Pelodiscus sinensis: one gene and its partners. The protein of the gene in region 2 interacts with the protein of the main gene of each other region in a pairwise test. Links are inferred from orthologs where the notes say so. Each region holds a gene or a part of one and is shown on either strand. Other genes may lie near its edges.

Region 1 (7,899 bases), on a different chromosome or scaffold from region 2:
CCGGGCGCCAGGGGGCGGCCCCCCTCCATAGCCCCCGCATGCCCGGGGCCGGCGCCCCCCCCCCCCCCGCAAGCGCCGCGCGCCGGGGCCGGCGACCCCCCCCCCCCACCACAAGCGCCGCGCGCCCGGGGCCGGGGCTCCCCCACCCCCCCGCAAGCGCTGCGCGCCCGGGGCCGGGGCCGGCGCTCCCCCCCCTCCCCACAAGTGCCGCGCGCCTGGGGCCGGCGCTCCCCCTCCCCCCCGCAAGCGCCGCGCGCCATGTGCCCGGGGCCAGGCCCGCGGGCACCGTGTTGGGGACCACGGAACTATACAGATAGGACAGATGTTAAAATGCATGTAATTGAGTAACCATGTAACTGCTGAAAATTTCAGTGGTTACACACAGGGGGGCAGGCAGCTCCCCAGGAGCCAGTGCACATGGGAAGGCAGTTTTTAAGCCATCTCCCTACGCATACCAGGAGCCTGCATGTAACCATGAAGGTTAACCAATAAGCCCAGGCCCATCGGGTAACCATATACACTTTCATATCCCTAATAGATAGCATCTTTATGCCCAGTACAGTGAACAACTGTGAAGACATTTTAACTAAGAAGATCGTTGTGGCTTTGAAAAAGCCCTAAATGTGTAGCCCTACAATACCCTTGTAACTTACCTCTGCACTTTTCAGAGACTTTAAGAGATTATTAACTGTTTCTGGAAAAGAACTGCCCAGCATCCTGCCCATTTTTTCATAAAAAGCTCCAACACATGCAACTGCAGCCCTAAAAAGACAAGATGCCTCTTAGTAACCTTTTTGTTAAAGTTTAACATACAACTTAAATGGAAGCATCCAACTAGAAGTAACTATACATTTAAAAAATAAACTTCTTTCTGTTGTTAATTATCTTCTATTAACTATTCAGTCATTACATTGGTTGTTTATATGTAGCTCAACCTAAATCAGAGAAGAGGGGGCTCTACATGCAAACAGGGATGCTTCTGTGGGGGATTCGTTGGCAGGATTTTTTCCGTGGGTCCTAATGCTACATAGGTCCATATGTCCTAATCCTTGTAAAGTCAAGCATATAGTTAAATCTTTGAAGGATTAAGGCCTTAAATGGTGCAGAAATTGGAGTTCAGCCAGACAGCAGCAAAACTGAGTTAACAGGTGAGAAGTATGTTACTCACATTTTGTTACATATGCCCTGTCAATTGAGAAAAGATTTAAGTTGTTTTACAACATACAAGCTCAAAATGTGTAGAATGCTGCACAATGCAGTTAAATTTAGATATGCTAAAATCATTTGTTCAGTCAATTTTTTCACCCACATTTTTCCTTTCACTCTTTTTCAGGTACTAGAATAACTGGGTTGGTTAGAGTGAGGTTTTCTGTTTTGGGTTGGGTTTTGTTTTGTTTGTTTGGAAGGGTGGGAGCAAAAGAGGAGGGTTGAGGTAGCAATGATTTTAAGCAATTTTATATTTCCACTAGACATACAAATGGTTCCAGCACCAGCGTGACAGAAGCAGATCCTGTGTATACCAGGTCCATGAGAATGTGTAAACTGATATCACAAAGGAACAAGGCTTTCTTAGCTTAAAATTTTTAACAGACACAACTGAGAAGGCTCAGCAATAATTTTTCAATCACTGACAGCATCATCATCCAACCAGCTGTTCATTTCAAATTTATCAGAGCACATAACTCCTCATTAAGGACCCTTTGTATAAAAGGCTGAGAATCACTGTACTAGGATACCTGAAATGTGAGCTGATGTTAAACAAACACAGAGCACAGAGATTATTTATTCAAGAGATACATACTGTATGCTACTTTAGATAAATACAAACAGTGAACACTCTTTCTGAAGAGCACCTAACATTACTTAGCAAAAAAGATAAAGTCCATGTTAGTGGCTAGCCTGTAATTTCCTATGCATCATTTAATTTGGCAGTCAGAATGTGCCTATAAATAACTGAAAAATTCTAAGTAAAGAAATTTGTTCAACGTTTATTCCGTCAGGCAATAGCTGACCTCTGGATGACACACACATGTAAAAATTAGCCCAGATTAGGAAATATTTCCTTGCCTGGAAAAAACACTCTTCAAATCCAGACAGTAATATCAATTTTTGTTAGCTCTAATTCCTTTCCTCCATGCTTCCAATCTTGCTATTATGTCTCATTTATTTATATATTATATATGCATACATGTATATAACACACAGATACATACACATACAGATTAATGCAGATATATTAAATGCTCTATTAATAGCAAACATTCACAATTCTTAAGGCAACATTTTACTTACAATTTGGTTGGTAAATAAGCAGCAGTATCATCTTTACTCTTGATAATGTCATTACACTTATCAATTGTCTGAAAGACAGTAAATGTATCACCAATGCTATAGAGAGCAGCAAGATTTTTAGCTAGTAATTTCCGTGTGGGTGGCCCAGGGGAACTGCTAATGAGTCCAGTAAGTTGTTCCACAAGCTTCTTTTGTTTTTCCTTGACATCTATCTGTTAAAGGAAAATTTGTGTTGTTATAGTTTCTCCATTCAGGTGTAATTTCTACCTGTTTCCCACAACCTTCATGTAGATTTTTGTTTGTTTCAATCCAAAACAATCAATGCTATAGTATAGTGAACACTAGCACATACAAATGCTAAATGGAAAGATACAAGGTTGCTATTGTTGAGTTCTTACTGTTTTTATCATATATTATTTATTAACCATACAATATTACTTCACAAAGGATCCTTTAAGCTCCAAGGACTATCCATTGCCATTTTTCATCTCTTTCCCCACACCATTGAAAAGGCCCCACACTAGAAGAGAAGAGCTTGATTACCAAAGAACTATAGATCCTACTAAGTATTTTAGTTTGTAAGCCTATAATTTCAGACTCAGCACAGGTAACAATAAGCAAATAAGCACAGATATTTACAAAACTATAAGATAGACAGAAGTTTATATATACACTTATAGTTAGGACTCTATGTAAATCACAATTTAAAAATTTTTTTTTAGAAAAATTCAGGACAATGCAAATGACAAAATACTGAATTTCGTGGAGTTTTCATGGAATTAGTTTACAAATAGCATTAAGTCAAATTTCAAGGACAGAATGAATTTCACAAATAATGTTAGTCAATATCAAGGAGTCATTCCATCTTTGAAACTGACTACGGTACTTTATTATTTAAAAGACTTAGTTGTAGACTTTTCTTAAGATCACAGTCAGAGACATTTTCATGATTTCTGTACATTCCATGAAATTGTGATTTACGCAGGGGCGTACCTATAGTCACTCTGTGGTTTGGCTCCCAGATACTAGTGCCATTGTGATGGATATTCATTTTGAACCTTTCCTGTGCATGACATTAACCTGAAATTGTTTTAAAAAGCAAAATAGAGAAGGAGAAATAAAGTTACCTTGTTGGCAGCTACAATCACTTTATCCAGAAACCGCAACCACTCAAAAATAAAGACCGGCCTCTTTGCTTCTGTTATTTGAGCCAAAGCCTCTTCATTTAGCAACAGACTGTGAGCTAGCTCCATCCTTAATATTTAAACTCTGATTTCACTGCAGAATCCAATATTGTCTCTAAAATAAACATAAAATGTAAAGCAGTAAAATGCTTTTGCTATAATATTTTTATGTAAGGCAAATTAGTTTTCAGAGCAGAACTGCATTTTAAGTATAGTCTACAGTATCAGATCCCAATTCTACATACACTTACACTTGTTTAATTAAGCAGTGTCATAGAAATCAATGTGAACATTTATATAGCCTGCAGCAGTGAGCCTCTAAGCCTGGGTTAACAGAATTGGGCTTGCAGGGCTCATGCTAGGCTTTCAAACTAGTGGAAGTGAGCATTGACAGCTCAACAGCATATAACAGATGGTACACAGAGCAGGAACTGACTGCAGAAAGCCTTGAAAATGAAGATAAACAGTCTGTGTTTGATGTGCTAGAGAGGGGAAAGCCAGTGGAGGAATGCAAAGAGGAGTGACATTGTCAAAGCAACAGGCTAAAAAAATGATCTTTGCAGTTGCATTCTGAATGGATATGCATCATTTGAGAGCAGTGTATGGTTGAAAGAAGGAGCTGTCTGGTAGACAGAACAGTAGAGAGGAGAAAAGGACAGTCACAATTTCTATTCCCAGTTCTGCCACTAACTTGTTGAGTGACACTAGAACAAGTTGCTTCAGGTTCCCCATCTGTAAAATAAGTATAAAATACTTCTTTACAGGGGTGACAGGACAATAAACTCATTTACATGTGCGAAGCTCTCAGATACCTTAGAGACAGGGGCAATAGAAATACCCAGGTATGCAGGAATCAATATGATTGATGATTGTTCGCCTCAACGCGGTGCTCCGCACCAGTCACTATATGAAGAGCTGCCCCTTCAGGCCCTGCATGCGCCCCCTCAGCCAACAAGCCAGCTGTCGGGTACAGAGGGGTAGGATGCCGCAGCCTGCATCCGCACAGGGAGGTACAAGCCCTGGAAGCCACAAATCGCTAGGATACGCCACAGGCCACCCAACCCCGCTGCCGAGCCAGGCTCCCTACCCGTTATCCCTGCACTACCAGGTGCCGGTGTAACGAGTCTGCGCCAGCCCCCCACCCTCACACGCCACCTCCGCAGGGCCGCCCCACCACTGGCCCCCGCCACCTCCGCGGCGCCCAGGGCGGGTGAGTTTCCCCGCCGGCCGCTGCTAGAGCCCGGCCCCGGCTCCAGGCGAGCCCCGCACGCAGGCGCGCCCAGCATCGGCCAGGCCCGCCTCAGGCTCTGCGCGGCCCGCGACCCCCTTTCCCAGCAGCGCCTGCCTCCCCCGGGCCGCTGCCGCCACCTCCAAGGCCGCTCCTCTGCCCCGGTGCCCGCCAGTCGCACTCACCCGCCCGCGGCGGCCCCACAACGGCCCGGCGGACCCCGGACAGCAGCGCACCGGGCCGCCAGCGACAGGAAGGGCCGGGTCGGGCGCAGGCGCAGCCGCCGCCTGGGAGCCAGGAAGCGACTGAGCAGAGTGCGCAGGTCGGAGCTGGAGGGAGAGCGGCGGGGTGAGGCCCCGGCTCGGAGGGGCGCTGGGAGGCTTGGGGGGTGCATTGGGGGTACGAAAGGAGGGGCCCAAGAAGAGGGGTACTAAGGGAGGGATGGTTGGGAGGGACGGAGGATGCCGGGAGATGGGGGGTCGGGGATGCAGGAAGGCTTTGGGGGTGCAATAGGAGGGATGGCTGAGGGTGCTGGCAGGTTTGGGGATAGGGTGGCTGGGGGTGCTGGCAGGTTTGGGGATAGGGTAACTGGGGATGCTGGCAGGTTTGGGGATAGGGTAACTGGGGATGCTGGCAGGTTTTGAGGTGGGGTGGCGGGAGGGGATGGCTGAGGATGCCGGGAGGTGGAGGGGACTAGTTGTGCAGGCAGAAATTGGAGGTTGTACACTCTTAGACATGGAACAAAAGCAGCAGTCACTGACCATCCGATTGGCTTTCTTTGTATCTGATTTTCGGTCTGTGGGCCAGGGCAGCTCTTAATACGTTTATAAAGCAGAGGCATAGGGCCTGGGATCAGAGGTAAGCCGGGACAGCTGATTCCCGGCTCCCCCAGTTCCCCTGCTAGCCTCTGCTTCCCGTTCATCCTCCCCTCCCCTCCCCCCCCCCCCCGGCGGTGCTGGGGGGAACCAGCTTTTAAGCCAACTCCCCCCAGCACTAGTTCCTGCTCCCCCACCCTTGCTGTCTCTTTCTAATAGAGCCAGCAAGGGTTGGTGGGGAGGGAAGTGACTAGTTGAGTCATTACTCAACAGCCCGATCGGCATGTGCTTATTGGGTGGTCGACTAGTCACTTACATCCCTAATCTGGGGTCCATAGTAAGGATGTTAAGGACTAGCTGACTATCCATTAATAAAAAGTCGGTCAACTAGTTGATTCTCCTCCCCCCCTTGCTGCCTCTATCAATTCTCCCCCCCCCCCCCCCCAGCAGACCAGGGAGACACGGAGCAAAGCAGCGGAGGACCTGGGTGGGGGGACCGCCAGACGCGCCGCGGTCCCCCCACCCAGGTCCTCCGCGGCTTTGTTTCGTGTCTCCCTGGTCTGCTGGGTTCTCCCCCCAGCAGACCAGGGAGACACGGAGCGAAGCGGTGGAGCACGCGGGCAGCGGGACAGCCCAGACGCGCCGCAGCTGTCCCGCGGCCGGCATCCTCTGAGGCTTTGCTCCCCGTCTCCCTGCAGACCAGGGAGCCTCCAGCAGACCAGGGAGATGCGGAGCGGCTTTTCTCGCCCCGGAGAACGCGGACGGCAGGACTGCGGCGCATCTGGGCGTCCCGCCACTCCCATCCTCCCGGTGTGAGAAAAGCCCCGTTCGTAACTGAGGATCCGACATAAGTGGGATCCGCGTAACTCGTGGACTGCCTGTATAGACAAATGCATTATCAACACAACTGAGCTAATAGTTATGATTTTGGATGTGTTTGTTTTTTAAGATAAGGGTATAAAGTGTAACCCACCTAAGGCAACAGTAATAACCAAGGTGAGGCTGCCATAGAACTGTGCTGAGCAAGAAAAGAAATCAAAGATGATAATTGAAACATTAATTTCTACTGCTGGTAATTCTCAAAATAAAAAATGATACTACTGTCAGTCCCTCAGTCTGGTAGTGTTGGGGAGGGGAGGCGGGAGTGGGCACTCATCCAGTACTAAATAGAGCAAGCCTGAACCAGTGAGTTTCTCAGCCCAAATACAGTCATCTTATTTCAATTCATTTTAAAAAGATAAAATGTGTAAAACTATTTTCATTCATTATAGGTAAGAGGCTCTGAATAGGGTACATATATTAAACATGGAAGAAGAAGATGACTATATGTCTGAGTCTTTTACTAATGTTCAGTAAGTAGCTTGCCTAAGTAGATCATATACATCTGCGTCTAATAACAATACTGATTGTTTTGGAGATTTACTCTTGACATTTTCACTAGTGTTTATGAAGAGCCTGTTATCCCTGAATTAATCATTTTGTCAATTTCCAGGTACTGCATTAAGGGCTAAATCCTCTTTTCATTACTCACCCACGTCACAGGGAGATTTCAATGGGATGAGGAAGAGGTATTTTGGCCAAAATGAAAATTTAGGTCTAATTTTTCAAAAGTAGATGGTGATATTGGAATCCTCAATTTTTGAGTCCCCAGTTTGTCATCTTAAAGGGCCTTGTTTTCAGAGGCTGGTTGCTCAGTACTTTCTGAAATCAGCAGAACCCTTTGGTTAAGCACCAAAAATTCAGGCATCTCATATCATTAATTACTTTAATAAATTTGGCTTCCACCTCTCTTTGTACTTAATTTTTGCATTTATCATGCCTCTGCTCCCAAATATAGATTATTTATAGGAGGCTACAGTGAAAAGTTTAAGTACAATTGTATTCCTTGCATGTCCTCACCATTTCTGCCCATGATGGAAATGAGGCAAGATTGGCCACTAATGAAAATCTTTTGGCAACTGCCATTTCCTAGTATTAACAGATTAATCTGAGATCTTAAACAAGAAATAATCCATCTGAGATGTATAGTAGTCCAGCAGGCAGGATTCTTTCCTGAAGAGCTAACCTTTTAAAGTAGTTAGTTATAATATAGGCAAGCACATTTCTGTAAGCTGCAATCAAATCCTTGCATTGAACTGTATGAGATCCCCTTTGATATGTCAGTTGTACTGCAGAAGAGGCAAGAATGGAAAAAGAAATTTTGTAGGGATCAGGGAACATCCCGATGGAAACGCCATTTGAATTGCATATTAAAAATGTACACATTCTATTGTCAGTTATATTACAGGATACATAATACAGTTAATGTCATTCTTAAAAGCCATTTAAAGGTTAAAGTGAAGTATGTGTGTGTTTGCAAGATGTTGCAAAGCTACAAAAA
Region 2 (7,393 bases):
TGGTATCATCTGCAAACTTAATAATTGTACTGTACTCGCTATGCTATCATCTAAATCATTGATGAAGATATTGAACAGAACCGGTCCCAAAACAGACCCCCGTGGAGCCTTACTTGTTATGCCCTTTCATATGATTGTGAACCATTAATAACTACTCTCTGAGAATGGTTATCCAGCCAGTTATGCACCCACCTTATTGTAGCCCCATCTAGTTTGTATTTCCTTAGTTTATTGATCAGAAGATCATGCGAGACCGTGTCAAATGCTTTACTAAAGTCTAGGTATACTATGCCCACCGCTTCTCCCTTATCCACAAGACTTGTTATCCTATCAAAGAAAGCTATCAGATTGGTTTAACATGATTTGTTCTTTACAGTTACCTATCACCTGATTGTCTTCCAGTTGTTTGAAGATGAATTCCTTAATTACTTGCTTCATTGTCTTCCCTGGTACAGAAGTTAAGCTGACAGGTCTGTAGTTCCCTGGGTTGTTCTTATTTCCCTTTTTATAGATGGGCACTATATTTGCCCTTTTTCAGTCTTCTGGAAACTCTCCTGTCTTCCATGATTTTTCAAAGATGATAGCTAAAGGCTCAGATAACTCCTCTACCAGCTCCTTGAGAATTCTAAGAAGCATTTCAGCAGGCCCTGGTGACTTGAAGACATCTAATTTTTCTATGTACTTTTAACTTGTTCTTTTTTTATTTTAATTTCTAAACCTACCCTACTTCCACTAGCACTCACTGTGTGAGGCATCCAATCACCATCCATCTTCTTGACAAAAACCAAAACAAAAAAGGCATTAAGCATCTCTGCCATTTCCAAGTTTCTTGTTATTGTTTCTCCCTCTTCACTGAGCAATGGACCTACCCAGTCATTGGTCTTCCTCTTGCTTCTAATATTTTTGTAGAATGTCTACTTGTTACCCTTTATGTCTCTAGCTAGATTGAGCACATTTTGTGCCTTTGCCTTTCTAATCTTGCCCCTTCATACTTGCATCGTTTGCTTATATTCATCCTTTGTCATTTGTCCTAGTTTCCACTTTTTATATGACTCCTTTTTGATTTTTAGAACATGTAAGATCACCTGGTTAAGCCAAAGTGGTCTCTTACCATACTTTCTATCTTTCCCGCGCAGTGAAATAGTTTGCTTTTGGGCCGTTAATAATGTCTCTTTGAAAAACTGCCAACTCTCTTCAGTTGTTTTTCCTCTTAGTCTTGTTTCCCATAGGACCTTACCTACCAGCTCTCTGAGTTTACTAAAATCTGCCTTCCTGAAATCCATTGCCTCTTTTTTGCTGTTCTCCCTTCTACCATTCCTTGGAATCATTAATTCTATGATTTTATTGTCACTTTCACCCAAGCTGCCTTCAACTTTAAAATTTTCAACCAGTTCCTCCCTATTTGATAAAATCAAATCTAGAACAGCTTTCCCCCAGTAGCTTTTTCAACCTTCTTACCAAGAATTTATTGGATAATCTGTGCTGTGTTAGTTTTGCAACATATGTCTGGATAGTTGAGGACCCCCATCACCACCAAATCCTGTGCTTTGGATGATTTTGTTAGTTGTTTAAGAAAGGCCGTAACCACCTCCTCTGCCCGGGTAGGTGATCTCTAGTAGATCCTTAGTATGACACTAACCCTTTTTACTCCTTATAACCTAACCCAGAGACTCACCGGCTATGTCTAGACTGTCATGATTTTCCACAAATGTTTTTAATGGAAAAGTTTTCCGTTAAAAGCATTTGCGCAAAAGAGCGTCTAGATTGGCACGGACGCTTTTCCGCAAAAGCACTTTTTGCCAAAAAGCGTCTGTGCCAATCTAGACATGCTTTTGCGCAAAAAAGCCCCAATCGCCATTTTCGTGATCGGGGCTTTTTTGTGCAAAACAAATCTGAGCTGGACTTTTGCCCGAATGGGAGCAGCATAGTATTTTTGCAAGAAGCACTGAATTCAGACAGTAGGAAGTCAGTGTTCTTGCAGAAATTCAAGCGGCCAGTGTAGACAGTTGGCAAGTTTTTCCGCAAAAGCACCGGCTTTTGCGGAAAAACTTGCCAGTCTAGACACAGCCACCATGCCTGTCTTCTATGACCATCTCCACCTCAGTCCAACTGTGTACATTTTTAATATATAAGGCAACACCTCCTTTTTTTCCCGTGCCTATCCTTCCTGAGCAAGCTGTACCCTTCTATACCAGTATTCCAATTGTGTGTATTATCCCACCAAGTCTCTGTGATACCAACTATGTCTGTTTATTAGCACTTCAAGATCTTCCTGCTTATTTCCGATACTCCTTGCATGTGTATACAGGCATCTGAGATATTGATTTGATTGGCGGCCCCGGGCTGTGTGCCATTGGCGGTGGTTAGGCCGACTGGGCAGCGCATGCGCTGTGTGTCTGCCCACGTGCCCCGGGGGTGGGCCCGCGCATACGTCATGTGCCCGGAGGCTGGGCCGCATGTCCCGGGGATGGGCCCGCACATGTGCCATGCGTCCGAAGGTGGGGCCATGCATCCCAGGGGCAGCGCCAAGTGCATGGGACGCCAAAATGGCTCGCGCTGGCCACAGGTATCAGAGGATCGCAGTTCAAGTTGGCTGCAAATCACTGTTCATTGCCAATGTGAGCAGCAGGAAGCATTGCAGACCAGGACACCACTTCCCGCTGCTTGCATTGGCCATGAACGGCAATTCGCAGCCAACAAGAGCTGCAATCCTCCGATACCTGTGGAGGCTCAGGTAAACTTGGAGATGGGGGCCTGCTAGGGACTAACCCTGAGGACCGGATCCAGCCTATGGGCCAGAATTTGCCCACCCCTTGTCCAAGTCAATAATGAAAATACTGAATAGTGCTATCCATCAGTAAGGCTCTTGCTATAGTTCAAAGGCGGAGGTGCCCTTATCAACTAATCGAATAGTTGATGGAAATCCCCTCAACAATTTGATTAATTAAGTAATCTAATTTAACATCTCTAATTGGGCGTAGGCTAAAAAATGTGTCTTACCTTTGTTTTGTGAAGCATAATACAGTGTATTCAAAATGACACATAAATCATACAAATTTCAACCTACAATATAATGTATTTTATATAAGTGTGTAATAATACTGTACTGAATCGGTGTAGGTGGAAGGGATGGCCAGCACTGAGCTCATTACAATGTGGAAGCCTAATCAGTTGCAGCTTGCCTCCTTCTTGTGCTAAGCCTGGTTTACTTAACTGGTTCTGGACCTTTCATTCCATGTCCTAACTGTAGTCGTGTTAGTCTGGTGTAGCTGAAACAAAATACAGGACTATGTAGCACTTTAAAAACTAACAAGCTGGTTTATTAGATTATAAGCTTTCGTGGGCCAGACCCACTTCCTCAGATCAAATAGTGGAAGAAAATAGTCACAACCACTCAAAGGTAGAAAAGTAGTAAGAGAATCATTAGCTTTTATTATTATAACTCTGAATTAGATACTGAACAAAAAAGGTCCCACTCTCAAAGACCTTGCAATCTACATTCAAAGTGACAAGAGTGTTTCTGAGACTAAAAAATTAAATCCACAAATGATTTCATCCAATGATGATGCGGAGGTGAAGGCCAGATGCGCAACAGAAACTGTCTACAACACAGCAGCCAAAACAGCAAATGAAGTCCCTCCTCTAAGGAAGTGAAACCACAACACAACCGGAACACAGTAAGTGATGTAAACCATTTAACAGCGTATACTTAAAAAACCGATATGGACACAGAAACACTGACTCATGGCCACCCAGGCACTGAACGGAGAAGATAAAAGCAGGAATAAAGGAGGCAAATACATGATGGAAGACTGAAGACTCCGCCCATCTATTCCATCGAGAGTGAACAGGAATAGAAATAGGGCTAGGGTGGGTGCTACAGAGCATTCAGACCCTGACATGGGACAAGCTGTAGTTTTCGCTTTTGGCTCCTCACTTGAGATTATCCCATAATTCCGGCTATGGAGAAAGCCTCCCTCGCAGCAGTCACAACTGTCACACGCGTCCTCGTCAGCCCCGGGCCAAACCCGTACCTCAGGGCTACGAGAGTAGAAGGGCGCGACTCGGGGCAGTGCTCTGGCTGCGCTGTCTGAACCCCAGTTCGCTAACCCCGCGGGGGGGGGGGGGGAGGTACCGATGTACGCGCCTGGCTGGGTGGGGGCCGAGCGCCAGCACCGAAAACCGCACGTCCTGTAAGTCAGTGACAGAAACCACGTCAAGCCAAAGGCTACTAACGCACCTGGCAACCGGGGGCCCGGGCACAGCCTCCCCCCGCCCCCGCGCTGTGAGGGAAGTGGGGTCTCGCGCAGCCGAGCCAGCCCCTCAGGAGGCCAGTCACGGCGTGGGGGGGGAAGCAACGCAACCCTGCGGGCAGGGCAGGTCCCTTCTCTCAGCTCGCTTCCCCCCGCAGCAGACGCTCAGGGAGGGCGGGGCCGGACTGGGAACAGGAGCCTCTCCTAGCTGCCGAGAGGCTCCTTGCCCCCGCTCCTGCATAGTGTCACGGGACCGGCGCATGCGCACAGCCCGCGCTGAGCCGTTGTGTACCGCAGCCTCCGTCGTCGCTCCCTTCGCAGAGCCGCGTCCCCAGGAGCCGCCGATAGCGGTGTGAGACTAGCAGCTGCCGCCGCCTCGGCCCGGCCGGTGAGTGTCAGGGCGGGTAGCGCTCCCCCCCCCAGTTTCACTCGGGGCGGTATCACCCCCCGGCTCGCTCACCGCAGCCGCCCCGCCCGGAGCTGCCCTGTCTGGGCCCCTCCGGGTACGAGCGCGCCCGGCCCGGCCCGAACGGTACCTGCGGCTGCGCGGTGTGTGCATCAGCCAGGCACGGGGAGGGGGGCCAGGAGTAAAGGCCAGAGGGTCGCTGCGCGCACCCACCGGGACGGGCGAGGGAACGGGGCGTGTCCTTGCTCGTTACTGAAACTCCTGATCCTGCCCCTTGCAAGGCGGCCAGCCCCCGTCCTGGGCACCCTGGAGACACCGCGACGGGAAATCCTGCTAATCTCCCACGTTGCCCCCCCCCGCCCGAAATAAGACAGCTCTGGCTTGGGGGTCTGGGCCGATGGGCTCTCTGGTGATTTTTTTTTTCTTTTGTCTCTACTATGGTAACCTTTTATCTCCCCTTGAAACGCTCAGCGTCACTGGCATAGGTCTGGTATGCTTATCTAAGGGGGGGAGAGTCGTAGCAAGCAGTGGCACTGTACAAACTATTCAGTGTCCAGTTCAGTCTTTTGTGCTTAGTTAATGCTCTTAGTTTTTGCAAACTAAATCACTTTTACTTCTCCAATTAGTAACACAGATCTTTATCGCTAGGATGTTCACTGTTCAGACAAGTCCTGAGACTGAAACACTACTGTATCTTGGCTTCTTACTGTAGCAGTTGTTGAGTTAAACTATTTGGCTATGTCTACACATGGCTTCTTGGGTGAGTAATATGCAAATGAGGCGAATCGTGGAATATCGCCGAGCCTCATTTGCATATCTAATGAGCCACCATTTTTTCAGAAGAGGCTCTTGCGGAAGAAGGAGCGTCTAGGCTGCCCCTTCTTGTGCAAGAAAAACCCTCTTGCGCAATGCCATTACACCTATTACTTTTCAGGAAGAACGGCATTGCGCAAGAGGGTTTTTCTTGCACAAGAAGGGGCAGTGTAGACGGTCCTTCTTGCGCAAGAGCCTCTTCTGAAAAAAATGGTGGCTCATTAGGTATGCAAATGAGGCTCGGCGATATTCCATGCTTAGTCTCATTTGCATATTATTCGCACAAGAAGCCATGAGTGTAGACATAGCCTTTGAGATTTAGAGTTCTAATGTATGGATAAGTTGAACACTGTAGAACAGAGGGTGGGGAACCTAAGGCCTGGTTTCCCTCTCTCTCCCCCCTTTGCTCCCTCTGATAGAGACAGCAAAGGTGAGGGGAATTGACTAGTCCACTCCTATCTGATAAGCATAAGCATTTGATCTCTAGGGAATAGTAAACACCTTATGATGGCTTTGGTGGAATCAGTGAACTAGGTGATAAGTAGCTGGTTGTCCTTGGTCTATTGTTGGCAGTGGACAGATATTAGAGGTGAATCAATAAAATATATCCTCATAGTACTCTGCAGATCAGGTTTTGGGCTTGTTTTAATGAAAAGCTTTTTTAAAGTAGTCTAGCTCAGTTGCCATTTTCTTTCCTGTCTTTGAGTCACTTTCCCAATCCTCCTTTTTTAGTTTTTTCAACACTTACCAGCAGGCAAGATTCCATAAACAAAAATGGACTGAGTCATCTCTGTACAGAAATCAAGTCAAGCGATTATGTGGGAAGTCAGAATCCTTTTCTTGCTCAGTTTTTCTCTGATTTTAAGTAGCACTTATAAATAGGGTAGTGATTTCTGTCCATACTTTCATTTTAACTTATTAATCAACAAACTAGCTGCAAGCTATGAAGTCTGAGGTAAAAGTTGTCTGCTGTTACACAGTGTAGTGAATAGCTAATTGCAGTGTAGAGTTTTCTCAAGTTTTTTCATCTTGGTTGCTTTTAATATTTGTATAACTCTGACCATTTTATGACAAATTGCAGCTGCATACATGACTTTTCTTTAAATAAATGCAGGTTTCAGTCCGTTAGAATAACCAACATTACTAAGGATGGCATTTCTTTGTAGAATTTTCTTTAGAAGCTTGGACAGTGCCATTCAATGATTACTCATGTTGTGGTTGCAGTTAAATTATGTTTTAACTTATCGTTCAAATGTTTGTCAAAAGTCTGATTACATTATAAATAAGAGGCTCTCAAATCCTTTCATGCTCATTCTAGTAGCATGCCTCGCAGGCCATTCTCCCATCCCTTTGTGATTGCAGAGACTACTTCCCTTCCTATTTGTGATGAGATAACATTGCCCAAAAAAATTACAAGAAAGCCAATAGAGAATCTCAGCTTACTTGGTGCAAGCAGAAGTCTAAAGGATTCCCTGTATGAGTAACGATTTTACAGAATTATCGGTTAATCTTAAACAGCTATACACACTCCTCCCCCACTCGATGCATATGGGGATGCATAAAATCATACAGAAAAGAGGCATAATCATCAGGCAGGTGAAAGTGGCTGCCTGGGGGTACCCCCCCCCATCTGAGACTGCCCTATACCTAAGTCTCCTACCCCCAAGGTAGGGATGTGAACGACTAGTCGCAAATGCTTATCGGATAGTCACACACTAGTCGCTTCCCCCCTGCCTTGCAGAAAGAGGCAGCAAGGGGGTGGGGGAGAGGAAGAGCGGGCACTTTGAAGCAGCAGCACTGTGTGGAGCCCAGGGTCTGCCTCTTTGAAACGCCGTGTGCAGTCTTGGGCCAGCTGGAGACTCCACAGCTAGCCTCAGGCTGCATGTGGCGTTTCAAAGCGGCAGTGCCATGTGGAGCCCAA
Region 3 (7,919 bases), on a different chromosome or scaffold from region 2:
ATACTTCTATAAGAACTTAATAAGATCCTATATTCCTTTTATAGGGGAAAAAAAAAGCCCACTTTGGTTCCAACTTGAAAGAGTAGTCTCGGATATTCTCTGTACTAAAGAGAGAACTTTGGCTAAAAAACAGCTACTCAGTTTCTTTTCCATAAACAGCTCATAGTTCATACGATGGAATTATGTATGCACCTGACTGCTCTACATCCTGAGGATCCTTGTGGACAGCTCCGCAAAGACTTCTGCTCAGCATGCAACAATGGTAAAACACCACAAGTATTACAATGTAAAAAGGAAAGGATTGAAAACTACTATGAAGAGCTAATACCATCAGCTGGTACACTCTCCCTTGGAATAGTGTATTCAGTTCTGGACACCATATCTCCAAAAAGATACTGCAGAAATAAAAAGGAGTACAAATCAACAGAGCTAAAGATTTACCCTTGCTGAGAACCTACCCCAGGGTCCCAATGGTTTGCTAAATACCTTCAATGCATGATTTTGTGTTTCTGTGTCTACCTAACGGCACAGGGGTTAATGGAATTAAAGCGGGAGAGGAAAAAGTGAGAGCTCTAATTCTATGACACTCACCTCATTTTGGAATCCTTCCAAAGCTTGAGAAACCAATTCAGAACTTGGTGACTTACAGTAGAGAGGTACCGTTCATGCCATTACAGAATTGGACCACTTAGGGAATATTATTTTCCAATCCTGCATTTGTAGGCAATGCAGCTGAACATATTCCCTCCCCCTGCCTTTTGGACACAGTCAGATATTTTTCCCCATCGACAGAGCTGGTGATACATGTTTTCCATTGCAACTTTCACCCAGTAAAAATTCAAACATCATCTTTGAAAGAAAATGAGGAGAGAGGTACAAATGACCAACTCTTACCTTCAGCCCAGCTCCCCATTACACCTAAAATTGAGGGTATGTTGCCATACTGCTCATCGGCTTTTGAGGACTTTGACTTGCTAGAAGAATGGGGTGATTCGTGTTCTTGCTGTGTAACAACCAAGCTCCTTGGCATCACCTCGGACCCCTGACCATACTGGTACCCAGCATGGGCAGAGTCAATTTCTGTGTCAATTTGGACTTCCTCCTCAGATGGAGAAAGGTGGCTAGGAGGGTCTGCGGATCGGTCTTCAAGCTTGCTTGACTTATAATGGGGAACGTCGGAGGATTGTTGCAATCCCAAATGTCTAGTCTTTTTGATGGACTCCTGCCTTTGGTCATGTTTGGCCAACTGCTGCTGCGCATTTCTCTGCGAAGCTGGATAGTAGCTGAAATTGCTCCAAGCATTGCCACTCATCACGCAAGTCCCTTGATCAGGGTTTAAGTGAGAATGAGGGGGGCTGTTTTCCGTTCTCCAGTCAGCCCCATACAAGCAGGAGCGTTCCACGCCATTGGAGTTCACATCTTTGTCTGACAGGCTGAAATACCGATCCTTCTCCTTCTCACTGATGTCCAGGGAGGACTTGATGAACGTCTTACACACACTAATAACGTCAGTCATCTGAAGATAGCTGGCAGCCGACATGACCTCAATCACATTGTGGCCAGTGAGGGAAAGTTTGCCAGAATACACAAAATCCAGAATAACTGTAAACGTGTCAGGAGAAAAGGCCTGGAAGGTAGCAGTGGTTGGCTGACTCGGATCCTTTGAGCTCTGGGAAAGGAGCATTTTGAAATAACCACTAGTGGCAAACAGCACATTGCGATGGGCTTTGAAGACCTTCCCCTCCACCAGGATACAGCAGTCACAGAACAAGTCTTGCTTGCGCTGCTCATTGAGTTGCTGCAGGAGGTGAAACTGATGGGAAGAAATCTCCATTCCAAAAAAAAAAAAAAAAAGAGGGGGCAGGGGGGCAAGCAGGAAGCCTTGCTCTGCAATAAAGAACAGTTGCAAGCGTGACAGGCTGCATGTAAACCAGAGGGGCTGCCACCAATTCCAAAACCAGGTGTGTTTTTAAGAGCCCATTCGTTCTCAAACCCACAAGAGCCCAGAGAGGGGAGGCGCAGCCCTGACTCCACGCCGCATCCTCTGGGCAGAGGGGACCGAGGCGGCGGAGAGAAGCAGCCGCGCACAACTCGCCCTGGACACCAGCTCCCCGCACCGGGACATTGGCGGAGGGCGCCGCCACTCAGCGCGCGCGTCCAGCCCGAATTGGTCCTTCCCCCCGCGGGAGCCAGGGGCGCCCGACGGCGCCAGACACGCCCGCCCAGCGCAGGGGGCAGCGCCTAGCGAGGGAGAGACCGCGGCAGGCGGGGCCGGCCGCTTTCCTCCTCCGCTCCCCTAGCGGCCGGGCCACCAGCGCCCGAGAGAGGCTCGGCGGAGCTGCGCCCCCCAGCCGGCCGCTGCGCCATGCGCCCGGGGACACCAGCCGGCCGCTGCGCCATGCGCCCGGGGACACCAGCCGGCCGCTGCGCCATGCGCCCGGGGACACCAGCCGGGCGGACAGTGCCCGCTTGCAGGGCGCGCCTGCACCCGCTGGCGTGTGTCCATCCGGCTCCCGCCTCTCTCCCCCTTTGTGCAGCCCCGCCGCGGCTGCTGCCCGCCTCGCACCCCCCGGCCCCCTTCGCCCGGCTCCCCGCCGCCCCGCTCCCCAGCCAGCCCTTTGTTGCCGGCCCCTCGCAGCCGCGCCTCGGGCTGCAAATGGCGCCCGCCGAGGTCTCTGCAGACGCCGCTGGCTCCGGGGCGAAGAGGCGGCCCCCGAGAGCAGCGGGGCCCCGGGGGTGGCCGCGTCAGGGCCCCAGCCCCCTGCGCGCAAGGCAGCCGGCGGCAGCGCCCCACCGCCCCGTGCAAGCGGCTGGCTGCGGGGCCCGCTCCCAGCCCGCAACGCCCAGTCCGGCCCGCCGGCTGCGGGGCCGCCACTTACCGGCCGGGCTCCGGGCGGAGCGGGAGGTGGGTGCGGGATCCCCCAAAGCCCGGCGCGGGGCGCTCGGTGGCTCGGATGCAGCTGGCGGGTCCCGCCGCCCCAGCCCGCGGAAGCCCGAACGGGAGAGAAACAAAAGGGATTTGCTGACGTGGGCGTCGGACAGAGACGCCCGAGGGCTGGGGACACAATTAAAGGGGCAACGCACCGATTGCAGGCGCAGCCCAGCAGCTTCCGCTGCGCGCCTGGCGGTAGGGGCTGCATTTCCCTCTGCTCCCCCTCCTCCCCTGCAGCCCTCTCCAGCCCGAGCCGCTTCCTCCCGCACCTTGCTGCACAGTGGGGCCTTCGATGCCCCACATCCTTGTGTCTCACGCCAAGCCCGGGCCTGACTCTCACCCACTTTCCCTTCAAGGCCGGGCTAAGCCCTCAAGTTGTTCTCAACCCCTTCAGATTGTATCATGTAGGCCCTGGTGTCCCATTTCTTTCTCCCCCTGACTGAATGGCCACTCTGGGTCAGACCAAAGGTCCATGTAGCACCCTGTCCTGTCTGTGGAGGGTGGCCAGTGTCATGCAGCGGACAGAACAGGATTGTCAAAACTCTCAGAGGGGTGGCTGTGTTAGTCTGTAACTAAAAAAACAATGGCCTTGTAGCCCCTTAGCGACTAACCAGAAATACAGATCGAATCATGAGCTTTCGTGGGTACAAAGTTCATGATACTATCTATATTTTTTGGGTAGTCTCACGCCATAGGAACATTCGTTGTTGTTTTTTAGGTAAGCATCAAGTGAGCCCTCTCCTCTCACCCATTTCCAGCCTGACAGAGGTAAGGGGAACCATTCCTACCCAGCCTGGCTAACCTTGTGCTCTTCAATGGAAGACTTCAATGGGGGACTTGCTCTTCAGTGGCATTTTGAGCTCCAGTCCTTTATCACCCCTTGCATGCTCCACTTGACATCCTTCCTGGATGCTTGAAGAGTATTCCTGTAGCACCTTCGAGACTAACAAAAATATATGTATAGTATCCTGAGCTTTCATGGGCAAAACCCACTTCCTCATATAGCTCACGATACTATATATATTTTGTTAGTATTGAAGGGTATGTCTACGCAGCAGGGCAAAAGTCGAATTAAACCATGCAGCTTCAGTTATGTCAACTGCATAGCTGAAGTTGAAATAATGTAATTTGGCTTTTGGCTCTGTCTCCACAGCAGGATGTCGAAGGAAGAACACTCTTCCTCTGATTTCCCTTACTCCTCCTGAAATGAGGGTTACAGGAGGCAGAGTAAGAAGTCCTCCAGCTCGCCTTATTTTGAAATAACGGCTTGTGGTGTAGACGCATATTTTGTTATTTTGAAATCACATCAGTTATTCCGAAATAACGCTGCTGCGTAGACGTCCCCTTCTACTGCTACTCCTTGTTTTTAAAGTTACAGATTATACAGCTACCCCTCTGAGACATCAAAAGAGTATAGGATGCTTCCTTCCTTCCTTTTCACACTTAACTGAGCACACCCTGGGTTGACAGGATGCCCCAGTTCCTTACCTGCCATGATACAATACAATAAAACAATTATGATTTTATACATGAAATAAATGCATTAGCTGCCTGCAAAAAGGGCCAGATTTTATGTTGTTTGGTTTGTCAGAGAACAGATACACAGACTGTACATATATACCGCACATAGGGGTGTAATCCTTGTTTACAAAATTATACACCAAATTCTACAGAGCACATTCTGTTTGTATCTAACAAAACACAACCTGAAGTTGCCAACTCCGCCCTTAAGAGTACTGGTTTGTGAGTCCCTGTATTTATGTGTAAATGGAGAGCTGTTGACAAAAGGAGACATAATTCTTCATTTGTGGTAAATAAACTAACACCAAGTACTTAGATGAGTATCATCATCACAAATTTCTCTCTGTGCTTTTGCACTGCTTCAAAATGAATTAGCGGCTAACTGTGTAACATAGGGCAAATCCTGCAGTCCTTAGTCAAAACAGCTCACATTTACTCAAATTGCAGGAGTGGGGGGATTGTAACAGAGTGAAGACTGAAGAATACGAATCTTCCCTGAAAGGTCAGAAATAATCTATAATGAATCTGCAAGTGCCAAAAAGAAAGATAGACACAAAACAGTCGGACTGGAAGCTACTGTCTTCCACAACTTCAGTTTCCTGATTCTGTAGTGTGCCGTTCTAAATTTATAATTCAAATGAATGAATGGCAGATTAGAGTGGGACATGGTTAAATTTAGGTCTAAAAGAGAATGGCATTTGTCATATGAGTAGAAACTACATTGGAGAAATATTTCATCTAGGAACTTTGTTTCACAGAGGGCAATGGCATGGATATGTGATTGGTATGTAATAGAATGTAATATTTTCTCCTTTGAAGTTAAATGTTTTTATTACTTGCAGCTTTATGCATTCTTAAATACAACATGTATTAACAGTGTATCTATTTTATTAGGCAATAATCTGAGGAATAATTGCTATAACATTTTCATTCAGAATTAATAAATATTGTTTTTATTTTCTAACCACAGACCTGATCCTACAAAGACTTGCTTCCTATGAGTTCAGCAGGTCTACAAAGGTTCTTGAAGTTAAGCATATGCTTAGGTTTTTCAGAACCACAGCCTACATTTGTCCTAGTAGCCAGACATTCCTGTGAAACAGTGACAATAGAGAACAAAATCGATGTTCTGGAAGATAATATCCCATCGTTTTACTTTGGATAAAATTACAGGAATGTTACTTTACATGTGTGAGAAGACAGATTAAAAAGATTGAGACTTTTTAGCTTAGAAAAGAAGAGACTAATGGGGGATATGATAGAGGTCTATAAAATCATGGCGGATGTAGAGAAAGCGAATAAGGAAAAGTTATTTACTTGTTCCCATAACACAAGAACTAGCTGTCACCAAATGAAATAAATAGATAGCAGGTTTAAAACAAATGAAGTCGATGTCAGGTTGGCTGTCAGTTTCTAGCGGAGTATCCCAAGGATCTGTTCTAGGACCAGTTTTGTTCAACATTTTTATTAATGACCGGGATGAGGGGATGGATTGCACCCTCAGCAAGTTTGCACTTGACACTAAGCTAGCAGGAGAGATAGATACGCTGGAGGGCAGGGATAGGGTCCAGAGTGACCTAGACAGATTAGAGGATTGGGCCAAAAGAAATCTCATGAGGTTCAACAAGGACAAGTGTAGAGTCCTGCACTTGGGATGAAAGAATCCCCAGCATTGTTACAGGCTGGGGACCGAATAGCTAAGTAGCAGTTCTGCAGAAAAGGACCTGGGGATTACAGTGGATGAGAAGCTGGATATGAGTCAGCAGTGCGCCCTTGTAGCCAAGAAGGCTAATGCCATATTGGGTGCATTAGGAGCAGCATTGTCAGCAGATCTAGAGAAGTGATTATTCCCCTTTATTCAGCTCTGGTGAGGCCACACCTGGAGTATTGTGTCCAGTTCTGCCCCCCTCCTCCCCATAGAAAGGATGTGGACGCATTGGAGAGGGTCCAGCGGAGGGCAACCAAAATGGTTAGGGGGCTGGAGCATATGACCTATGAGGTTAGGCTGAGGGATTTGGGTTTGTTTAGTCTGCAGAAGAGTGAGGGGGGATTTGAGAGCAGCCTTCAGTTTCCTGAAGGGAGGTTCCAAAGAGGATGGAAAGAGGCTGTTCACAGTAGTGACAGATGACAGAACAAGGAGCAATGGTCTCAAGTTACAATGGGAGAGGTCTAGGTTGGAGATTAGGAAAAACTATTTCATTAGGAGGGTGGTGAAGTACTGGAATGAGTTATCTAGGGAGGTGATGGAATCTCCATCCCTAGAGGTTTTTAAGTCTCGGCTTGACAAAGCACTGACTGGGTTGATTTAGTTAGGATTAGTCCTGCTTTGGACAGGGGGCTGGACTTGATGACCTCCTGAGGTCTCTTCCAGCTCTATGATTCTATGAAGTATTTATTCACGCAACATAGTCAACCTGTGGAACTTCTTGCCAGAGGATGTTGTGAAGACCAGGACTTTAACAGGGTTAAAAAAAACCTAGATAAATTCATGAAGGATAGGTCCATCAATGGCTATTATCAAGGATGGGCAGGGAAGGTGTCTCTAGCCTCTGTTTGTCAGAGGCTGGGAATGGTAACGGGGTGGGATCACTTGATGATTACCTGGACTGGTGCACTTCTTGCAAAGAAGATATTTGTTCTTTGTACATAATTTTTTTCAATGGGCACCATGCAGGTTTTAGTTTCTATAGCTTCTTTATTTAGTCCTAGGTCTCATGTTTCTCACTTTTTGAGTCTGCAGGAGTTGGCGTTGGATGATTGGTAGGAAGGTCTCTTCTAGGGGTGGAACTATTGCATCAAAACCAGTAGCTCAGAAACCAGACAAATAGTCTTATCTTGTAAACTGGCTCTAGAAAAAGGAGATTGAAATCTCCTTCTCTTCATTAAGATGCTAATAATTAGCATACATTTTACAAAGTGTGTCTTTCTTGGTTTCACTTAGATATAAAACTAGAATGAATACCAGAAAATGCTAAAAGATCTCAGACATGTATAAAATATATTTGTCTTGAAAATCCAAGAACTCAAATACAGTATTTTTTTTCTTTAAATGTTATGTGTTTGCTAAAGAAAAGTTCTGCAGCTAATATACAAAACAAATTGCTGTAATAAGGAAGACACACATGAACACACATTCATTTATTTGAAAGATAAAATTTGATGGATGAGTTGTAACAGATTTTTTCCAAACTAAGAAAATATAAGTGCCATATGCTTATACTGCAATTCTTTCAAAATACAGAACATAAGAAAAGTTTAATGGTGCCCTTGGCTACAGAGCAGTTTGAGTGACACAATTCTCTTTCTGCTTCACAATGGAAGAATTTTTTAATTCTCATTCCATAGTTCTGGATGAAAAATGTATCCAATGAAAAAATATGAACAGGAATAATAACCCTTAGAATGTGTGCAAAAACTATTGCTTTTTAAAATGGTATAATGTTTCTTAGAGAGAAAGTATTGGTGA
Region 4 (6,960 bases), on a different chromosome or scaffold from region 2:
ATAGAGCAGGGGTGGGCAATAATTTTTGACCAGGGGCCACTTCAGAAATTTTTGAAGTGCTCCCAGGCCACCCAGGAAGGGGCAGGGCATCAGATAGAAGGGATGGGGCCAGGATACTTCCATGCTTCTGCACCCACAAACCCTCATTGGTCTGGGGGTAGGGGAGTGCATAAAGTCTTTGTCCCCCCCCAAAGAGAATCATCAGCTGTTCTGAAAAGCTGGCGGTTCCCTCTAAGTATTCGTGCCCCTGGCAGTGGGAGGAGACTTTGTATATCCCTCTTGTTGTCCCCAGATCAATCAGGGCCTGGGGAAGGGGAGCATGTGAAGTCTCTCACTCCCAGACCCCACCCCACAAGGGAGCACCCTGCTTAGAGTCAACAGTCAGCTGAGTAGCAGCTGGCAATTGACTTTAAGTGCTGAGGCCCTTGCAGGGCAGAAGGAGACTTCATGTGCTCTCCCGGCTCCCAAGCCCCAATTGGCCTGGGGATGGGGAGAGTGCACGAAGTCTCCTTGCAGAATGGGAGCAGGGTGTGGCACTTAGAAGCACCACGCCCCTCCCAGGGCGGTAGGAGACTTTGCTCACTCCCTTCTCCCTGCCCCCAGGCCAATAAAGCTTGGGGGTGGGGGAGCACACAGTGTCTCCTCCCACACTGCCAGAAACATCCAGCGCTTCTAAGTGCCACACACTCCTTGCAGGGCGGGGCAAAGTGGGAGGAGACTTCATGTGCTTCCCCCACATCCAGGCCCTAACTGACCTGTGGGTAGGGGAAGTGGCAGGGCTTCCATGGGCCAGATCAACTTGGCTCTTTTGTCCATTCCTGCTATAGTGTGTCCATTGGGGCAGCCATAATACCAAGGAAGTGGCCAGCAGGGCTGAGGCTCTGACATTTTGCCTGCCACCAGAAAAGGTAAGCAAGGCCCTCCTGCCAGGGAGACAGCCCCTGCCACCCTCACTCCCTCACCACAGATGCGGTAAGGGGGAGAGAAAGAGAGACCCTGCTGCACCCCCTGCTTCAGGAGGGATCAGGGGAAAGGGAGATAGCCCCCCAAATCCCGGGAAGGGCCAGGAGGGGAAGAAGAGAGCCCCCTGCCCTGGGTGGAACCAGGACGGGAGAGAGAGAGTCCCCCCATGACCTGGGCAGGGTCATAGGGGAAGAAAAGAGCCCCTGCCATCCCAGAAGGATCTAGGGGGAGGAAGACACCCTCCACTCCTGGCTGGGCCAGGAGGGAAGGAGCGAGCCCCTGCTTGCCCTGGGGACAAGCCAGCAGAGGGAGTTTGTAGTACCCGGTGCCCTGGGCTATCCACGAGGAGAAACCAGCAGCCACTCTGTCCTGAGCCCCCCTGTCCTGAGCCTGCCTCATCCACCCAATGCTCACTCTCACACACTCCCATGCCTCCAGCCTCATGCCCTGAGCTCCCCACATCCCCAAGGCCCTACCCTGACTCCTGGACCCCCACACTCCATGAGCCCTCTGCAATGAAGCACCTGGGCAATGCCAGATAAGTCTTCTAGTAGTAAAGAAAACAAAAAGCCTCCTCAATTCCTTCTTACCATCAGTGAGAGATGAAACTCCCCTATTCTCTTGTTTGCAAGTGAAGCAGCCTATTTACTCTTTCGTAGTCCTTTACAGTTGTTAACGTCAGTGAGTTAATAGTAGTTACAGTCCTTAGTTGTTTAGAGAGATTAAAATTCAGTTGAGAGATCTTCTCCTTCCCATGTACCTTTGGCACCAGGGCATGCCAAGGTCTCCAGGCTTCAAAGCCTCTGGATCCTGTGGTAAGTATATGCTCAGAAGCAACCCCCACACTTCATATATGAAGTGTTTAGGGCAGTGGTCACCAACCAGTAGATTGTATTATTTGTCGAGCCCTGGACATAAGCATCATGCATTCCCCTTGACCCACCCCACACTGATGTCAGTAAAGTTCCCCTAGTGATCTGCTTGCATAATCACAAAAAAGTAGTCCTTTCTGTTGCTGTACTCTATAGCAAGGTAAGCTGGTATCAAAATGGGGATTTGTCTAATGTATATCACAGCCTTGGAATCCCATTGCTACAAATCCATGTACTATGTCTTCCATATTACCAAGAGTTCCAAATTATTCTAAATTGCATACTGGGAACTTTACTCTTATCTCCCATAAATCACGGTGTGCATCATTTCTATCCCACCATAGGAGAAAACTTCCCTAAAGGTATTGTGCTAGACCAGGGTGGGCAATGAGTGGCTCACAGGCCAGACGCTGTTCACCACGGCAGGCCACTGATGCTTTATTTACCTGTGCAGCTGCAGGTACAGATGTTTGCAGCACTCATTGGCCACAAATTGCTGATCCTGGCCAACAGGAGCTGCAGGAAGTAGCGTGGACTGCGACACCACTTCTCGCAGCACCCATTGGTCAGGAACACTGATCGGGGGCCAATGGGAGCTGCAAATGGCCGTACCTGTGGACATGCAGGTAAATAAAGGGCTGGCGGCTTGCCCTGGGCTAACTGTGGTGAATTGCCACTGTCTTATTGCTCACCCTTTCACTATTCAGCGCTGGTTTGCAGGCTGGAATACCTACATGCAAGTCACCACACTTTGCATTGACCCAACTACTCTGCATGCATATGTTCAGTGCCAAGGCAAGCAATCAAGAATGCAAGCACAGGACTATATGCTCACACAGGCAATACGCTAAGCTAACTTGCACCTGCCAACAACTGTAACATAGTTGTAGGAGTGCTGGAACTACGGATGTGAATGGTTAACAGAGCAGCGTGCTGTGGGCAAGGGCGCTCCAGTCCAGCTGGAGCAACCTACACCCGCAGCCAGCCCAGCCTAACTGCTCCAATGTGTCCATGGTGAATGGGGCAGGAGGTGGCTCCAATACATCTGGTCTGGAGCTGCTCCCCCCACACCCGCCCCCATTTATGCGGTTGACTGGTTAAACATAATATTTATCTAGCTAGCTGACTGAATGGTATTTTACATTCCTAGATGGAACCACTTTATAGTGTGGGTGGCGATGATGGAAACCATGTACTTGTTGGTTATGGCTGCTTCAAGCCAGGAGGTGCAGCAGCTCTAGGGATGCAATAGTGTAGCCAATTAACCAATTAACTGGTAAGTAAAAGCTTACTGGTTAATGCTATATATTACACGCATTTCCCTCCTCCCCTGCCAGTAAATTTTTTAGCAGGCTGGCCAGAATCCTAGCTCACACCAAGTCCATGACCTACCCCCGCTGCAGCTCTGCATTTAAAGTGTATTAAGAGCTAGGCAGGCAGGCAAGCAAGCAGCCAAGCTCAGTTCTGCTTTGCACCAGGTCTGGGAACTCTGACCCCACCTAGACCAGAGGCAGCAGCCCAGGGCAGGCAGCTGGTCTCCGAGGGCAGCTGGTTTTTAACCCGGATTCCCTCATGGACCAGCTCCCACCTGGCACCCTGTGCTGCGGCCGCCTCTGTAGCCGAGGTAACGGCTCCTTGGGAGCGGGGCTGGAGTGCGCTGGCTGCCGGCCCCACCCCGGGGGACTATCAAATAGCCAGTAACAATAGGAATTGATGCGGTTTCTTGACTATTCAATTAACTGATACTGAACAGTCCCGCGGGCCCTTCTCGGCGCTGCCCGTCGGGCTCCCGCTCCCTTCGCCTTCCCCAGGGGCCTGGCGGCGGCTTCTGCTCCCCCCCCCCCGCACCTTGCCGTTGGTCGGAGGCTCCTGGATGTAGATGTTGCTCATGCTGGTGGCGGGGCGGGCACGGACCCGGCGACTCCGATTTCGCTCCTGGTCTGGCGCTGCTGAAACCCCGACTAGCTCTGCGAACCTCCCGCCATCTTGGACCCCGGGATTTGGCGCCGCGGCGCGGGGGGAGGCAGCAGGAGCGAGAGGCCAAACGCGGAGCCGCAGCACCCGCTCTGGGAAACGCCTCCGTCGTGCGCCCTAGGCCTGAGTTCCCCCAGCGACCCGCCTCCTCCATCCCCCGCACTGACACCGTGGTGTGATCCCGCCTCCCCTCCCCGCCTAATGGTACGGCCCGGTGTGCGCTGCCCAAAGCCCTCCGGCCGGGACGCTCGGGTGTCGGGCCTGCGTCCGGCTCTGCCCGGGGAGAGCGTGCGGGGCTCGTGGCTTCATGGCGCTGCCAGGTGAGGGCTCTGGCCCGGCGTGGGGGCAGCGGGCGGCCGAGGAGACCCTTGAGACGCTGGCGCGGGAGGCCGGGACGGGAGCCTGGGTGGTGAGGGCGTCCCATCGTCTCCGCTCGCCGAAACCTCCGGTGGCTCTTGGGGGGCCGGACCCGTCCTGGGAGGGTGCCCGTAGGTGAGACGAGCTCGGGGCAAAGGTCCAGGGGGAGACAACGCAGTGAAGCTTTGAAAAGAGCCGGGCAGCAAGTGGGGGCCGGTATCAGCCTAGAAAGGAAGTGGCCACGAGCCGAGTGAAGGAAGAAACCCAGGTTTCGCGGAGGGTCGGGTGGGGGGGGGGGGATAGTTATATACTGATAGCTAAGGCCAGAAGGGTTCATCATGATCAAGTCCTCTGGCATGACCTTTGCAGGCTACAGAATCCACCCACGCCTGTACGTTATTGAAGTCCTTGAATCATAATGTAAAGATGTCACATAACACTTGATTAGCCTCATTTACCCAAGTATCCTCTTTCTTAAGTTGTCCTTGGCTGTGTCTACACTGGGCCACTTATTCCGGAAAATCAGCTGCTTTTCTGGAATAAGCTGCGAGCTGTCTACACTGGCCCTTGAATTTCCGGAAAAGCAACGATGCTCTACTGTACAAAATCAGCCGCTATTCCGGAAAAACTATTCTGCTCCCGCTCGGGCATAAGTCCTTATTCTGGAACACTGTTCCGGAAAAGGGCCAGTGTAGACAGCCCAGTAGTCTTTTCCGGAAAAAAGCCCGGATTGCAAAAATGGCGATCGGAGCTCTTTTCCGGAAAAGCGCGTCTACATTGGCCACAGACGCTTTTCCGGAAAAAGGGCTTTTCCGGAAAAGCAGCCTGCCAATGTAGATGCTCCTTTTCCGGAAAAACTGAAAACGGAATAGTATTCCGTTTTAAGCATTTCTGGAAATTCATGCCAGTGTAGACACAGCCCTTGTGTATATCCCCCTGCCTTGGTAAATACCACTCCAATTTATTTGATGATGAGGATTTTACCTGTGGACGCTTATGTCCTAATAAATCTGTTAGGCTATTTCTACACTGCAGACTTCTTGTGTAAGAACTATTTTGTGCAAGAGTTCTTGCACGAGAGTGCGCCCACACTGCCTTGTGCTTTTGCACAAGAGCATCCATGGCAGTGTGGATGCTCTTTTGCACGAGAAAGCTCTGATGGCCATTTTAGCCATAGGGGTTTATTGTGCAAGAAACCCCTGTTGCCTGACCACACTGCCTTCTTGTACAAGAGCTCTTGCGTAATAGGGATTATTCCTTGTAGGGAGAGGAATAACTCTTGCACAAGAAGTTCTCTTTTCTGATGTTTTACTGTAAATTTACTTGTGCAAGAACACACGTGCAGTGTAGACATTTCACAAGTTTTTGTGCAAGAACAGCTGTTCTTGTGCAAAGAGTCTGCAGGGTAGATGTAGCCCCCATCTCTAAGGTGCCATAGGACTCATTGTTTTTGCAAACACAGACTAACATGGCTGCCCTTCTGAAAGAATTCATCAGTACATTAATATAACTCAACAAGTGATCTCTGTCCCATGCTGTCTGGTATGGAGGAGAGCTGCTTTCTGACCACAAATGCAGCAATCAGACCACTGAAACTTTTCTGCAGTTACAGAGTTACCCAATTACCTGCTTTTTAATATTCCTACTTGCTACTAGCAATTGTAAATGGGTCATACCCAATCTCTGCAGGGGGTGGATGGACAACAACAGAGCAGGGCAGTTTCCCCTGCTTTAAAAAGACAAAGTAAAGCTTCTCTCAGGAACTTACTCAGCAGCAGCCAACACACACACTCTGTCACTGTCACACACTCTCAGTCTGTGTCACAGTCTCTCTTTCTCTAGCCACGAACCCTTCCACCTGAAGCCCTGCCCCTTTTGGGATGCCTGAAACCAACCTGTGGCCAAGTACAAAAAGTACTTGGCACTAATTGTTTTAACATAGAATATCAGGATTATGGTGATAGGATACATGGTAGAAAAGTGACTTTAGGGATGTTGTAACACAGTTGTATTCTGTTTCCCTTTGCATTATGGCTCAATGCTTTTTCTTACCAAAATAAGTTAAAAAGTGAGAGAGGGACATGTTTTGGGCAGTGTTCCCTCTAAGCTGTGCAGGCAGCACAGTTTCACAGGTGATTAATCAGCCCCACCGAGCCAGGCTCAGGGCTCTGTGCATGGAGCTGACTGATTAATCATCACCTGTGAAGTTGTGCTGCCTGTGCATCTTAGAGGGAACACTGGTTGTGGGAACAGGTGATGCTCCTGATAGTAAGATGGCCTGTGAACAAGCACTAGATATGATTGTTATTCACCTTGGGGGAAATGATTTGGGGAACCTGTAAAGGGGTAGGCTCATTGTTCAGATCTAAGAGGGACTTGGGGCAGATCCTAGAACTTTCCCAGGAGTAAAAATTAATTGGTTGGACATGTTGTGACACAGGGTTTGGCAGGAAGCTGTGAAGCCTCCATGGGTTGACAAGAGTAGGAAGTATGAGAACAGAGAGGGGGCCAAAATCATAGATGGCATAAGGGAGTTGATGATTTCTCATCCTGCCATACTATATTGGACAATATAGGGTTCACCTGCAGATTTAGAAGTTGATATGTTTTTGGCTGATATTGAAGGCATCAATAGATTTCTGGGAACTGGGCTAGGTGTGAGGGAAGACAGTCAAGCTAATTGCTGGAGCCTCTGTCACAGATGTTCAGTACAGGTACTCCAATAGGGAATTGATAAAGTGATCCAATAAAATAAATTTAAACACAATTTAAAGAAGGTATTTAAAGGAATGGA

Evidence for each region.
Region 1: the proteins of SDCBP (region 2) and GPATCH11 interact in binary tests that used the Homo sapiens proteins (3 or more experiments, as listed by UniProt). The two-hybrid records come from large-scale screens. The link is inferred for Pelodiscus sinensis from reciprocal best matches to the Homo sapiens genes SDCBP and GPATCH11.
Region 3: the proteins of SDCBP (region 2) and zinc finger and BTB domain-containing protein 8A interact in binary tests that used the Homo sapiens proteins (3 or more experiments, as listed by UniProt). The two-hybrid records come from large-scale screens. The link is inferred for Pelodiscus sinensis from reciprocal best matches to the Homo sapiens genes SDCBP and ZBTB8A.
Region 4: the proteins of SDCBP (region 2) and uncharacterized protein LOC102460411 interact in binary tests that used the Homo sapiens proteins (3 or more experiments, as listed by UniProt). The two-hybrid records come from large-scale screens. The link is inferred for Pelodiscus sinensis from reciprocal best matches to the Homo sapiens genes SDCBP and SREK1IP1.

The regions. Positions count from the first base shown.
Region 1 is NC_134713.1:137,256,879-137,264,777, forward strand, and holds the start of GPATCH11 (G patch domain-containing protein 11), read left to right. Parts: upstream 1-4,889; 5' UTR 4,890-5,026; exon of another isoform or gene 5,027-5,052; intron 5,053-6,790; 5' UTR 6,791-6,824; coding exon 6,825-6,871; intron 6,872-7,899. Other genes in the region: HEATR5B (HEAT repeat-containing protein 5B), read right to left, coding at 654-762, 2,293-2,504, 3,420-3,545.
Region 2 is NC_134712.1:63,002,389-63,009,781, reverse strand, and holds the start of SDCBP (syntenin-1), read left to right. Parts: upstream 1-4,381; 5' UTR 4,382-4,641; intron 4,642-7,393. UniProt on the Homo sapiens protein: Multifunctional adapter protein involved in diverse array of functions including trafficking of transmembrane proteins, neuro and immunomodulation, exosome biogenesis, and tumorigenesis.
Region 3 is NC_134735.1:3,441,622-3,449,540, forward strand, and holds the start of zinc finger and BTB domain-containing protein 8A, read right to left. Parts: upstream 3,015-7,919; 5' UTR 2,880-3,014; intron 1,888-2,879; 5' UTR 1,835-1,887; coding exon 895-1,834; intron 1-894. UniProt on the Homo sapiens protein: May be involved in transcriptional regulation.
Region 4 is NC_134716.1:91,047,243-91,054,202, forward strand, and holds the start of uncharacterized protein LOC102460411, read left to right. Parts: upstream 1-3,954; 5' UTR 3,955-4,116; coding exon 4,117-4,129; intron 4,130-6,960. Other genes in the region: spliceosome-associated protein CWC27 homolog, read right to left, coding at 3,684-3,725. UniProt on the Homo sapiens protein: Possible splicing regulator involved in the control of cellular survival.